2 linked regions of the Tamandua tetradactyla genome follow. The protein of the gene in region 1 purifies or fractionates together with the protein of each later gene. This does not show direct contact. Links are inferred from orthologs where the notes say so. Each region holds a gene or a part of one and is shown on either strand. Other genes may lie near its edges.

Region 1 (6,860 bases):
AATATTTTTTATCATCACAATCGACTTTTTCTTTTTTTGTGAAAAATAACATAAATACAGAAAAGCAATAAATTCGAAAGCACAGCACAACAATTAATTGTAGAACAGATTTCAGAGTTTGGTATGGATTATAATTTCACAATTTTAGGGTTTTACTTCTAGCTGCTCTAAGATTCCAGAGACTAAAAGAAATACCAATTTAATGATTCAGCAATCATATACATTTGTTAAACCCTACCTTCTCTGTATAACTCCACCATCATCTTTGATCTTTCTACACCACTCTTTAAGGATCTTTAGGCTATAGCCATTCTAACTTTTTCATGTTGGAAGGGTCTGTCACTAATATGGGGTAGAGAGATGGAACTATCTGATGTTCGGGAGAGGCTGGGCTAGGTTTCAGAATTTTTCTGGACCAGGGACCCATCTGGAGGTTGTAGGTATCTGGAAAGTTACTCTAGTGCATGGAATCCTTGTAGAATCTTATATATTGCCCTAGGTGTTCTTTAGGATTGGCTGGAATGGTCCTGGTTGGGGTTTCACAGGTTATGATAGGTAGCAAGGTCTAACTGAAGCTCATGTAAGAGCAACTTCGAAAGTAGCCTCTCGACTCTATTTGAACTCTCTCTGCCACTGATAATTTATTAGTTACACTTCTTTTTCCCTCTACTAGTCAGGATGGAATTGTTGATCCCATGGTGCCAGGGCTGGATTCATCTTTGGGAGTCATCTCCCACGCTGCCAGGAGACTCTCACCCTTGGAAGTCGTGTCCCATGTAGAGTGGTGGGCAGTGATTTCACTTGCAGAGTTGGGCTTAGAGAGAGTGAGGCCACATCTAAGCAACAAAAAGGTCCTGCAGAAGTAACTCTTAGGCATACCTATAAGTAGGTTAAGTTTCTCTGCTGCCTACATAAGCTTCACAAGAGTGAGCCTCAAGATCAAGGGCCTGGCCTTTTCATTTGGATGTCCCTAAAATTTGACACAGTATCAGGTGATTCCCTGATGGTAAAGTTTAATAGTTCCTTATTGTTTCTTCCATCCCTCAAGGGACTTTGCCACAACTTTTTAATTATCTGCTTAATATACTGTAGGATGTATCCAGGCATTACATTAAGCTATATAGGATTAAAGGCCCTCATTCTTATTCTATGCTCCCTGTGTTTCAGTTGTTCAAATGAGCTATCCAGACAGGTTGGATTAGATTATGTACTACAGAAAATTTAGGTTCCAGACAAAATAAACCTTTCTTCCTTTGGTCTCAAAGGGTAGGTGTGGTTCTAAAATACGTCTTCCTTACCCCCGTGTTCTGAATTACCTTAATCCGATTTATGTGGCTTCATTCTCATCTCTAAATATCAGGTTATACAAAATAATCTTTTAAAAAAGTTAGTCAGATCTTGTCACTTTTCTGTTCTGAACCCTACAATGGCTCCCCATGTCAGAGTAAAAGCCACCAGACTTAAGTGTCTTATAAGGAACTAGAGGATCTGGCTCCACATTTCCTCTCTGACCTCTTCTATTTATCTTTTCCATCCAAACTGGCCTTTTGCTCTTCCTTCCAAGAACATTAGACTGGTTCATGCCTAGGGGCAGGGGCCTTTGCTGGAGTTGCTCAGATAGGACCATTCTTCTCCCAGGGAGCCACTTAGCCAACTCCTTATGACCTTCAAGTTCAAATCTCACCTTCTCATTTAGACCATCTTATTTATATTGCAACTTCCTCCACTCCACACACCCCTTGTTATACATTTTTCAATAGCACTCTTTGCCTTCTAACAAATTATACAGTTTACCCATTTATTATGCTCATGCTTTGTCATCTGTCCCTATCTTGCTCTACATATAAGCTCCATGATGCAGAGATCTGTCAGTTCTGTTCATATGTTATCACCAAGCACCTAGAAACTGCTAAATACATATTTGTGGAATGGTCAAAAATTGAACACTACTAATTAAAACTGAAATATTTAGCAAGAGACTAATTTTGGAATATTCTTGCATATAATAGATGCTCAATAAGCATTTGATGAATGAAGGAACTATGTACTGGTAATTTGAAAAGGAATCTTGGCCCATATTTCCAGTGTATGCGTTGTGCTATGAGTTGGAGTGTATCTTGAGTTCTGTTTATTCTGTATCCAAAACCCATTTTTGCTTTCATTTTGCCTTTTCCAAAGCCCTGTACACTTTTATTCTGTATAACAGTCAGTTTTGTTCCCTGAATGTTTCCATTAGCTCCATGGCTCAGAGATGGTTAAGGAATTCTACTAAGAGCCACCTTAACATGATGAAGTTGCAGAGAAAGAAAAACAACTAAAACAAAGTAAAAGATGCTTCTGAAAAATAAACCTCTGGCTGAATGGCCAGAGGATTTATCTGGCATGAGGCACTAAAAACTAGGGTTTAAGGTCCTTTTATCTACCTTGTCAACAGACAAATAGAAATATGAAATAAAAATAAATAATAGGGGGAACAAATGTTAAAATAAATTTAGTTTGAAATGCTAGTGATCAGTGAAGGCGAGGGGTAAGGGGTGTGGTATGTATAATCTTTTTTTTTGTTATTTCTGTTTTCGTTTTATTTCTTTTTCTGAATTGATGCAAATGTTCTAAGAAATGATGCATATGCAACTAAGGGATGATATTGTGAATTACTGATTATATATGTAGAATGGAATGATCACATATTAATGATTTAGTTTGTTTAATTTTTTTAATTAATAAATAAAATTTTTTTAAAAAGTAGGGTTTAAGGGTAGTTACACAGACTTGGGTTCTAACTTCAGCCCCCCCCCACACACACACACACAGTCCACTGTGATTTTCAACTAGTTTAACTCTTCTGAGCCCGCATCTGTAAAGTGCGATTAACTAACAGGAGTTGTGTTATAGAGGAAATGTGATGATGTAATATGAGAGCCAAAAGTAGTTAAGTCAGTGCAGAGCAGGCAATCAATAAATGGAAATTATTCTTATAATGAACTTAAAAAACTTGTTTTTGTACCTTCTGTGAACAAGTTGTTACTCCCTCTTTTGTTTCCATCTCATTTAAAGAGGAGATAGAAAAACGAGTAAAGAAAAGTAACCAAAAAGGTAAGTGAGCATAAAGCCCTCTCATGGCTAATTAAGACCCTGCAACGGGGAACAAGGCCTTCTTTTTCAGAGATCCCTCAAGGCGAGGGGGGCCAGCGCCGGCGGCGGCCGGGCAGCACCCAGTCTCACCCGGGAGGATCCAGCAGCCTCGCGGTGAGCGCCGGCGCGCAGCCTGGCCTTATACGGAGTTGTGCGGCGGTGCCTAATTGGGAGCCACGCGGAGCGCCCTCCAAGGGGTCCCGAGCCCGCGGGGGCGTGTGAGGGGTCTCCCCTCCCGGGTCTCCGGCCGCGGCTTCCTTTTTTTTGCCTGTACAAGCACCGGGAATCGAACCCCGGTGTACCGCATGGCAGGCAAGAGCTCCGCCGCTGAGCCACGGTGGCCCGCTCCTCCGCCGCTCTCTTTATCCGACTTTTCACCTCTCCTAGCCTTTGCCTACCTGACGCTTCCCACACCCAGTGAGGACCGTGTAGACGCTTCACCTCCTTTCAGTCACCGTCTCCTGCCCCTTCTCTACCCCACCCAACCCATTCTTTTGCAGGATTTCTCCTCCCCTCCTAGTGCTCCTGGCTCCTTCCGAATATTTGGGTTTGAACTTTTAAACCCACCAATCAGCACCGCGCGCCCCTCCCCTCCCCGCGGGCTGTCGGGGGGCCGACCAGCCCAGGGCCGCGTAGCAGGGAGGCGGGACGGCGGGACGGCGGGACGGCGGGGGCCCGGGGCGGAGTCCAGTGCCCGCCCTCGCGACACGTGGCCCAGGAAGGGCTATAAAAGGCCCCTGCGAGCCGGCCGTCCTCTCACTACTTCTCCCCCGGACTCCTTGGTAGTCTCATAGCGGGAGATTCTTGTCGCCATCCTCCCGCCTCTTCAGCGTCGCTTGGCCCTACAAGTCCCTGTCATGGTGAGTGGGGTCCCGGGGCCTCCCAAAGGTGCGGCAGGAGCCTCGCCTGTGCGGACTCTGGGGGAAGAGTGCGTAGGCGGAAGGAGCTACACGTGGGGCCGCGCCCGGGGAGTCTCCCGGAGACCCCGGGAGTCTGGCTAAGGGAGCCGGGACTGGGAAAGCCGGAAGGGGCGGCCGGGACCCAGCCCTCGGGGGAAGTAGGAAGTCCTCTTGATCCTAGTGAGAGGTAGCCCCACAGGGTCTGTCACCGCCCAAGGAGAGCGAGAGAATCCTCTTGTTGGCCCCCCAAATTAGAGAGAATTTAAAACACCCTTCCCCCAATTTCCCCACATGACCTCACCTACCTTATACGCTGGTCCCTGGAGGGTGAACGGGCTGATGATCGCCAGGCCTTGTGTGCTCCTTCATGGAAGGCTCAGACACTCCCTGGCGCCCCTTTTCCAGCGTCCTGTGACTCGCTGCTGAGTCACCTGTGGCCTGGCCCTGGGCAGAACTTCCAGTTGCAGCATTCCCACCTGAGGGATGGAGGCGGGCCCGTCCTTTGAAGGGAATAATTAACTGTCTTATTGTCTAATCCCCATTTCTAATGCTAACTCCATGGGATATGAGGAACTGAAACTTTCTACTTAAGGGAGATTTTAAAAGTCCACAGGAATGATTTAAAAAAAAAAAAAAACCCAGAGAAAAATCGCTGATGATGTATTCTTATTTCAGTTTTCAGGAAACATAAGATTATATACAATTTGAGAATTTTCCATCTACCTTCCAGAGGTATTGGGACCAGCTATCTTATTCTATTGGAGGCCTAAATAAGAATAAGCCACGTTTTAAACAAGGATTGGTGTATCAGATGTTTAAAAAGTATCTTTAAACGGGGAGTACAGTATCTTTAAAAGTGGGGTGGGGATACAGCAAATAACCTTTTCAGAGACTACCACTGAAGTACTATTAAAAGTATGAATTACTGTAACAACTTGCTTCAGTGCCTTTTATCAAGAGCAAAAACTGGTGAAAGTCTGATTCAAAAAGTAGTGGAATTTGTACTAAAGGTCAGGAGAGCAACAACAACAGATCTTTTTAGGCAACCCTGGCTGAATTAATGGATTTTATGAGACAGTGGTTGCTTATCCAGTTAAAATTACACTAAGTGAATCTGTCACCTGTGTCTCACACCTCCCAAGTGGCCAGGGGACAGTGGAGGGCAAGTAGTGGCCACTAACTTTGCCTGCTACACTTTAAGAAAGGAAAGTTTTTGGACTCAGAAATTTTCAGTAGAAGAACAGCTTCTTTAGAATGAGAAACTCTTGGCCGCTTTTATCTCCTTGGGCCTGGGTACCATCGTGGATGGATCTGTGGTTCTCTCCAGCTTTCAGGGGCTGTGGAATTTCCAAAGTCCAGTTAAAGGTAAACATGATGCAGTGGTAAACAGTCATGGATTCATTAGAACAAACAGCTTTTACTCCCACAGCCCTAGAGCTGGGCAAGTAGACACAGGTAGTTCTGAGCTTGCTGATGTGGTCAGGAGACTGTGATTATTTTATGGGAAGCAGGTGGGAAGGAGACTGTGATTATTTTATGGGAAGCAGATGGGAAGGAGTGATCGTAAGTCAAAGGTTGATGATTCAGGGTTTTATTGCTCAAGTTATGAAATTAGACTCTTTGAGAACTTAACTGATACTTAATTTTCGTTAACTAATTTCCTATTAGCAGTTTTTAAAAACTTGAAACCCTACTACTTAGGGGGAAAAGTAATGAGAGATTTACTGTGTGGGTATTTTGAAAGTTCTCTGCTAATCTCCAGATTAGCTAATCTGATTTATGAGAAAATACAATAAATATCCTTTTTTTTGTTTTTCTGTTAAGTCTGTGAGTACTGATTCTATGTTCATTACCTTATTTTACTAAGCAGAAAAGAGTTTGGTAACTTCTAAATGACCATGTTGAGCAATTAAAGCAAAACAAACATTTCTCCAAAATCTCAAATTCTTTAATCATAGGCTTTTTTTTTAACCATAGTACCAGGGATGTGTACATTTTCCTACGAAACAGTAAATATTTTTAAATAGCAATGAAGTCTTGGCAACACTTCTAGTCTTTATTAACAATGTGCTTTACCCCCTCCATGATTTGTTGATGTGAAGGAAAAATGTTCTTAAAAATTAAATTATTCCACAGGTTTAAAAAACTGCATCTCACCACAGCTTTTAAAATACAGCTAACTGTTGCTTATCTAGCACTTTCTCCGTGAGTCATATGGCTGTAGTTTGCTGGGTTAAACTGATTTTAAAGGGGAGAGAGAAAGAGGTCTTGCCTCTTAAAGAATAGGATTCAAGAAGGACCAGAATGAGCTCAGAAGTTGCACAATCACATAGAGAATGAATCAGACCTGAAAGGGGGAATTTTATTTAAGGAAACAGCAAGCATATTTCCCAAGAGCTACGGGGAATATATTGCTGTGGAGCAGTTTATGTCATTCCAAAATGGTAGAAACCTGACTTTGAATATCTAATGTGACTAGAAAACAAGGGTCTTGCCTTCCCTGGTTCATTAACATAGCTTTGGTTTTCAAAGCGTTTTTTTTTTTTAATTAGATCTTCAACAAAAACTGATGCTTGTAACATAGTCCATGTTCTGGCGTGGCCTCTAGAAAAGTGGCAGTCTGTCCTGAAGGCTAATTAGTCATTTAGGTGACTAATTAGTCATCTGGGTGAATCATTTCCCAGTGTGCCATCTGATGTGCCATATTCTGACATTTTTTTTATCTTCCTTTGCACAGCGTGAGTGCATCTCCATCCATGTCGGCCAGGCTGGTGTCCAGATTGGCAATGCCTGCTGGGAGCTCTACTGCCTGGAACACGGCATCCAGCC
Region 2 (7,254 bases), on another chromosome or scaffold:
ATTTTCTTTCCAAAAACTGAGATGTGGCTCAAAGCTTTATCTCTCTCTTGTTTTTTTTCTTTACCTGGGCAGGTACCGGGAATCGAACCCAGGTCCTCTGGCATGGCAGGCAAGCATTCTTGCCTGCTGAGCCACCATGGCCCGCCCTCAATGCTTTATCTTGATAACTAATAAGCAGCCGTTCATTTCACACACAGTTCAACCTGACCAGAAACAGTTGGCATAGGATCACATGAGAGAAGGCAACTAAGAATGACAGTAAAACCTTTAAAGTGAGGATCTTCATGAAAGATAGTAAAACCAGATAGAACATCCCATTTCATGCAAGCAAGATAAATCCTAAAATAGGACTTTCTCCTTCTAAACTTGTTTTCCATGTTGCATTCTTGTTTCTTTTACAAATATCATTTAACTACACGAAGTAAAAGCAAACTGATTTGGAAAACAGTGGAACTTTCTCCCCATCTCCCCAAAATATTTTCCGTAGAGTGCCAAAATAAAAAAGCCAAGCCGTTCTGGTCAAAGGGGCCCCTCTGCAAAATCCTACAATTTCTTAGATACAATTTGAAAGCCACTCAAGCAAAGAATTCTGGAAAGGAAAAGGAAGCAAAGAATTCTGGGAAGGGAAGGGAGGGGAGAAAAATACAATCTTCATATTGGCATATGAAAAAATATGTATGTTTTTCAATTACATTGCCACTACTTTCCCTTCAACATGAGCCAAAAAAATAAAGACTAGAGATTAGCATGTGTGCTGCGGATGAAGGGGGAAGTAGTATTCCTTCTCCACTATCAAATCAACCACTTGATACCGGCTACAGTGCCTGCAATTAAAACTTTACACCATGAAAAAGGTAGAATGGGCATAGCCCAAATATCCCTAAAGAGTGACAAAGATCAAAGGGAATGGTGGAGTTATAAAGAGAAGTAGGGTTTAATAAACGAGCAGACTGCTGAATCATTATATCGGTATTTCTTTAGTCTTCAATATCTTAGAACAGTTAAAAGTAAAAACCTAAAATTGTGGAAAGGCAACCCATACCAAACTGTGAAATGTGTTCTACAACTAATTATTGCTCTGTGCTTTGAAATTTATTGCTATTTTGTATATATGTCATTTTTCACGAACAAGAAAAAAAAAAGCCAATTGTGATGATAAGAAAGTATTTATTCCTTCTAGCCTCCAATGTTCTGGAGCAGCTAGAAGCAAAAATCCGAGATGAAGGTATGGTAGCACGTGACAAACTCTGTGATCTGTCCTGTAACTACTTGTTGAAGAGTACTTTGAAAACTACTGCTTTTTCTTTCTTTACTTTGTATATATGTTAATACAAAAAAAAAGTTAAAAAAAGATTTACACCACCTATGAAAACCAACGAATCATTAAGAAACACTACCTTTTCTCTAAAAATATACAAACAAGAATAACATCTTTTTTCCACTATGAAAAGGCATAATAAATAAAAAAATTCTGGAAAGTAGAATAACATATATGCACTTTTTATGCCACTAACTTCTGTAATCCTGATCCAAACCAATTAAAATACATACACACACAGAGTTCTCACCTGCCACACCAGAGACCCAGGTTCAATTCCCAGTGCCTGCCCATGCAAAAATAATAATAATATATATATATATTTATACACACACACATACACACACAAAATTGTGGGAAATTATTGAATAAATATTTGACGATATTTAAGAAATCATGTTTGTAATCCTAAGGCTTGATGAGACTGACTTTGTTTCATGTTTTTTTTAACTTTACTTTATCTTTCAGATACACCTGAAAAATCTACAGATGAAAAGATACTGAGAACTGCAAAATACCCAGCAGGTATATGAAACAAGGTTGGTTATGTACTAACAATGCTTGAAGTTGGGTAATATGTACATTTTTGTGTGTTTATTTGAAAATATCTCTCAGTAAGGGAAAAACAATCTTATGCGTCAAAAAAAAACCGCATCAAAACTACAGAAACTGTGTTTCTGGCTACTGTTTCTTATTCATCAGGTTTGATTATCAATAAGTCTATTCTCCAAACCAAATTAATTTTCTCCAATAAATCTATAACTGAGTTACAAAATTCACTTTAGTGTCTTTAATTCCACTCATTAGCTAGATGAGTGCCAAGTGAAGAAACAATCTAGAACTCCAACTTATAATTAGTACTTATCTGAGCTTCATGCCACATATCTATTTTGAGTCAGAATGATCAACTATTGGGATTATTTTCTTTTACCTTCTCTCCCTCTTGTATCTGAACTGTTTGATAGATAGGGTACAAAGGGGAAAAGTACCAGATGTTGTTCATTCCCACGAAGTAAACTCTTTCAAAGAAAAGGGTTCAAGGACTCAGTCGAATGTGACATAGATGTTTTAAGATTCTCCTGGTTAAGTAATTCTACGTACTCCCCTTACACTCCCTCCTCCAAAAAAGCCTTCATGTGGTTAGAAAGGAACGACCCTGGTTGGTCTAGTTCATCTACTCCTCCTCTCTTAGGGGAGGTGCTAGAGAGCAAAGAAACGACCAAAAGACAGGCCGGAAGAAGGAAAGCGAAAAGCACGGAGTTTGGACAATCAGCCCTGAGATAATTGATAACTATACCCAAATTAGATGAAGTTAAGAAAGAGTAGGCTGATAAACGCCTCTCTAACGCCGACATTCTTGACAACTCACAGTGCCGAAAAACTCGGAGGCACATATAACAGCTTGGGAGTCCCTTCCCATCCAAGTATTCACAGGTACAAAGGCTTAACCAGAATTCTTCCCGGCCCGCGCTGTGGAGAAGGAAGGAGCTCACATCCTTTCCAGAAGCAGCTCCGCAAAAGTAACTCCCGCCCGCCCGAGCCAGGTTGGCCCGGTCGCCCGAGACCCTCCCCGCGCGGCTGGGAACCCCCAAACGACTGCCCCTTTCCGAAGGCCAAGCGGCGCCTGCTGGGGACCCCTCTCCCCAGGCCGGGCGAGGGCAGGTGGGGCAGAGACCGGGCGGGGAAGACCAGCCCGCCGTCGAGGCCCTCCGCGCCCGTCCGGGACCCGCGCCGCCCACGCTGGGCCCAGGCCCGACGCCCCACGAGAGTCTCGCCGCGAGTCCCACGCCCGCACCCAGCCCCCACCCCCACCTCCGGCGGGACTCGCGAGTCCCAGTCAGCCGCGGGGGCCGCCGCCGTACCGACCCAGACAGTGGCTACCTGTCTTCACTCTTGTTTTTCTGCTTCTTCCCCATCGCGTGTCAGCGACGCTCGTGGCCTTGCCCCCTTTATCCGGTTTCTCGCGGACCCACTGCGCCCCGGCCGACTCTGGTGTCCACTCAGCTTCGTCCCCGCGAAGCTGCCGCCCCTCGCACCCGGCTCTCCACAGACCCGCGCACTGGGACAGGGCACATATGGTGTGAGTGCCCAATGCGCATGCGCGTCGCCCCGCCGCTTCGGCGTGGGGACGCAGCGCGCGGCTCATCGAGAGTGGCGCTCGGGGTAGAGCGTCTCCAGTTGGCCGCCGGACCGCCGGGAGTCCGCGCGCCCCCTGCCCGTCGATGCCTCGGGTTCTAGAACCGCGGGCCGGATAATGAGGCTGTCAGTCCCGCGTCAGCCCTCGCTCCTCGGGAAAAGCCACCGGGATTTAGCACTCGGTTCAGAGGAGGACTTCGGGCTTCTCTTCCACCTTTCACCCTCCTCGAAGGAGCCGAGAATGGGCTCTGGATGTTCCCGAGGGATACGAAATTCCAGCCCAAAATCGGGGCCGCTTCCAATGCCCATTGGTTAGGAAATACGCAGTCACTAAAGAAATCATGAGGCGAGGACGTGCCCACCAATTTACCCCGAGAAAGGTTTCGATCTTTATATGCAAAGCAAGTTCTCGTGGTAGGGAAGTCACGAAGGAACGTTCCGTGACCCGATCTGGGCTGCTGTACCACAGGGTTATGTAGGTGCAAGTCATATTGCGCCACCTAAGTGATGCCTCCACTGTTCAATAAACTGAATGGAAACGAACTTTGAGGCTCACTCTTGAGCAAGATCGAGACTACCTCATTTCTGACGTAGTGCTATAATGAGTACTTGGGCAGGGCGTGAGGTCGGACACTCAGGGTTGGGGACCCGGCGGCTACGGGGCGCACAGCAGACAGCCTCGTCAGCACGCCTTTCCTTGGACCCAGGCGAAAAGCAGCAAACAGGCTGGGAAGGGCGCGCATGCGCAAAGGCGCTCTCCGCCCGCTCTGCCGCCTCGGGCGTTTCAGGATGTATCGCGAGAGGGCTACAGCCAATGAGGAGGAGGGGGCGCCGGCCGGCTTGCAGCCACCCCCTCGGTGTGCGAGGGTGAATCCCGGCAGGGACCCTTTTCCGAAGCGGCTGCTCCGTCCCGCCTCAGGTATTACCGAGAGCTCAGGTGAGGCGGGGAGTGGCGTGGGAAACCCGCCACCGCGTCCCGACGCTGACGGACGCATCACCGTCCAACATCCGGCCGGCGCGGGGGAGGGGCGCGGCCGGACGCGGGGATCGGGGCGGCCGCGGAGGTTTTGGCGCGTGCGCCGGGGCACAGTTGAAGTGCTGAGGGCTGTGCCTGGGTCCGGCCCGTGGGGCCTGGCGTGCATTTGTGAGTGAGGCCCCTTTGTTGTTTTGGAGGTACCCACGGGAGTCAAGGAAATGGTTAGGTCATTGGAAGACTCGCGGTGTTGCTTCCCACCCTCCTCCTTTTGAGCGTAAAAAAGGGAAGAAGCGGAGGTTGGTGAAGAATGAAGTTAACGCGACCGCTACGCCGTCTCCTTTGACCTCCTCTTTCTGAGTGCGGCGACCACCGCCACCTGCCTCCAGAACAGCTCTTGTTAATCGTCTCTGTTCCTAGTTATCCCAGAATTAAATTCTGGGCTCATCCTGTGAAACTCCAGGGATGAGTGTGCGCCATGCCCCGAGTAAGAACAGGTTCTGATGTGCAAATCAGCGCCTTCATACAATCTTCTGGCTCATCTAGATCAGCTCCAGCGTTGCAGTGTGACTGACGGTTTTCTTCGGAAGTGTGTGTGTGTGTGTGTGTGTGTGTGTGTGTGTGTGTGTGTGTGAGTGGAATTCTTTTCTTGTATTTGAAACAGCTCCTTTTCAATTTTATAGCATTTATGGGACGCTTTCAAATTGGTTTTCTAACTTGATATTTGTGACAGTTTGAGCAGAAGCTAGGCACTTGTCCATTCAACATTAAATAGTTATTGAGCATCTACTATGTTCCAGGCCCTGTACAAGTAGCTCTGGGGATACAGAGATGAATTCAAGTGTATTTTTCATCTGCTTTTCCTGTAAGGAAAAAGAAAATTACAAGTAAAGTTTGCAAGGACAGTATTTCTCTTCAGTTTAACAAAATTTAAGGCGTCTCTGTAGGCCAGGCTCTCTGTCAGAGGTTGAGTGAGTTCGGTTTATTCACATTTTTTATGGTGCTTCAATCAAGTTTACAAATGTATCAGTTTGCACGAACTCCTGCTTTGATAGGCAAATTGTAAAACCTATCTTCATGGCAGTTAGCCCAGGAATTCAACTAAATAACATTGTTACTGGTAGAAAATAACATTTCTCTTAAAATATTTGAGATCTTCCTTTCTAATCTGAATTAATTGTTGGAAGCAGACAAATTTTTTTACTATTTTACCCAGAGGACTAACAATGGAAAATCAGTTTTTTTTAATATCTGTAGTGCTGTATTGTTTTACATCAAAGTTAAGAACACTGAGTGTCAGTAAATCAATACCTCTATCAGTTTTTGCGGCCTCATAGATTGTGTTAGGTAAGGGGAAAATAGAAATGGAAATAACACGCATTGTAATGAGATCTTCTAGGAGGTAAAGAAACTAAATTCGTTTGGGTAGAGACCATAAAAAACTCTCCATTTTGCTCGACTCTGTGCTGTGTTGAATCAAATTGGTATGCCTGGGAATGTGTAAACCTCAGTACAAATATGTTATTTCACAGTGATTTCTGCTTTACTTTCCTTTTCCTTTGGTAAGGAAAACTGATTGTCAGTAAATACCACTAGCTATAATTCCAGCTATTAATTTCTCTCTGGTCTGGTGATTGTCTTGAATACTAGCATTTGCCTTTTTTTTTGCCATGGGTAGGCACCAGGAACGAGAACTCTGCCACTGACCTGCCATGGCCCACCCTTGTATTTGCTTTAGTATAGCAAAACACAAATTAAGTCAGAAGATCCTAAATTTTGCTATAAGTAGTTTTTTGATTATATGACTGTAACGTATTAAAAATTTTAATTTAAAATTCTTAAGTTTAACCTGATGTGTATGGGTGTCAGCAGAATACTCTGCAGTACAAGTATATATATGCTTGCTAGAATTTTTGAGAATGGGAGAGAAGACTTTGTGTATTTATATTATTTTTTTCTAATTTTGTAAATCTTCCCAGCCCCAGGGCTGAATTGTACCATTTAGAAGAAGAATGGAAGGCGATGCATCTGTTGGCATGCTTTCAAAAGTCCTGGAGAATCAGTTGCTTCAGACTACCAAACTAGTGGAAGAACATCTGGATTCTGAAATTCAGAAACTGGATCAGATGGATGAGGATGAATTGGAACGCCTCAAAGAAAAGAGACTTGAAGCACTAAGGAAAGCTCAACAGCAAAAACAAGTAACCTCTCTGCCCTGCTTTCTGAAATTGCTATAACAGTATGCTCCTAAAAATTATATATACATGTGCTGCAGCAGTTAAATTCGGTCCTCTTTTTTAGGGTCTTTGAATTGAAAGTACCTACTGCTATTAAAAATTTGCTAAAAAAAAGAAAAAAGTTCTAAAGACACATTCAAAAATTAATCTAGTCAATTTATTAAACCACAGTTGAGTGAAAGAGAAGTTTCCTACCCAAGATCATTTTCTGAGCTCAGATTTGTTTGGTTGAGGAGAGAGTAAATCAGGAAGAGCACTGAGAACACTAGGAGTCGGCAGTTTCCATTTCAGGTAGAACTAATGTCTGTCATAATTTAGCTAGCTTCAGTGTAGGAATGGTGCATGAGATAAGAGCTATGGGGCAATTCATGTTGAAGAAATTATTTCAAACATTTCCAGTGTAACATTTATATGTGATCTCTTTATTCAAGGGAATGCATGCTGGGCACCAAGAAAAATAGCCACAGCTCTATCCCTGTTGTTCTCCTAGAGTGTATAGAACAGACTCATAGTTGTATGCTTACAGAAAAAATATGCACAAAATACGGGGTTCCCATATACTACCCTATTATTAAAAGAAATACTTTTTT

The links.
Region 2: the proteins of tubulin alpha-1C chain (region 1) and TXNDC9 purify together in Homo sapiens (co-immunoprecipitation; 3 studies listed by BioGRID and IntAct, counting the BioPlex papers as one, with this or other methods). This does not show direct contact. The link is inferred for Tamandua tetradactyla from reciprocal best matches to the Homo sapiens genes TUBA1C and TXNDC9.

Annotation. Positions count from the first base shown.
Region 1 is NC_135333.1:110,188,803-110,195,662, forward strand, and holds the start of tubulin alpha-1C chain, read left to right. Parts: upstream 1-3,857; 5' UTR 3,858-3,989; coding exon 3,990-3,992; intron 3,993-6,768; coding exon 6,769-6,860. UniProt on the Homo sapiens protein: Tubulin is the major constituent of microtubules, a cylinder consisting of laterally associated linear protofilaments composed of alpha- and beta-tubulin heterodimers.
Region 2 is NC_135343.1:4,925,732-4,932,985, reverse strand, and holds the start of TXNDC9 (thioredoxin domain-containing protein 9), read left to right. Parts: upstream 1-4,242; 5' UTR 4,243-4,373; exon of another isoform or gene 4,374-4,391; intron 4,392-4,486; exon of another isoform or gene 4,487-4,598; intron 4,599-4,607; exon of another isoform or gene 4,608-4,914; intron 4,915-6,406; 5' UTR 6,407-6,439; coding exon 6,440-6,628; intron 6,629-7,254. Other genes in the region: EIF5B (eukaryotic translation initiation factor 5B), read right to left, coding at 3,200-3,234. UniProt on the Homo sapiens protein: Significantly diminishes the chaperonin TCP1 complex ATPase activity, thus negatively impacts protein folding, including that of actin or tubulin.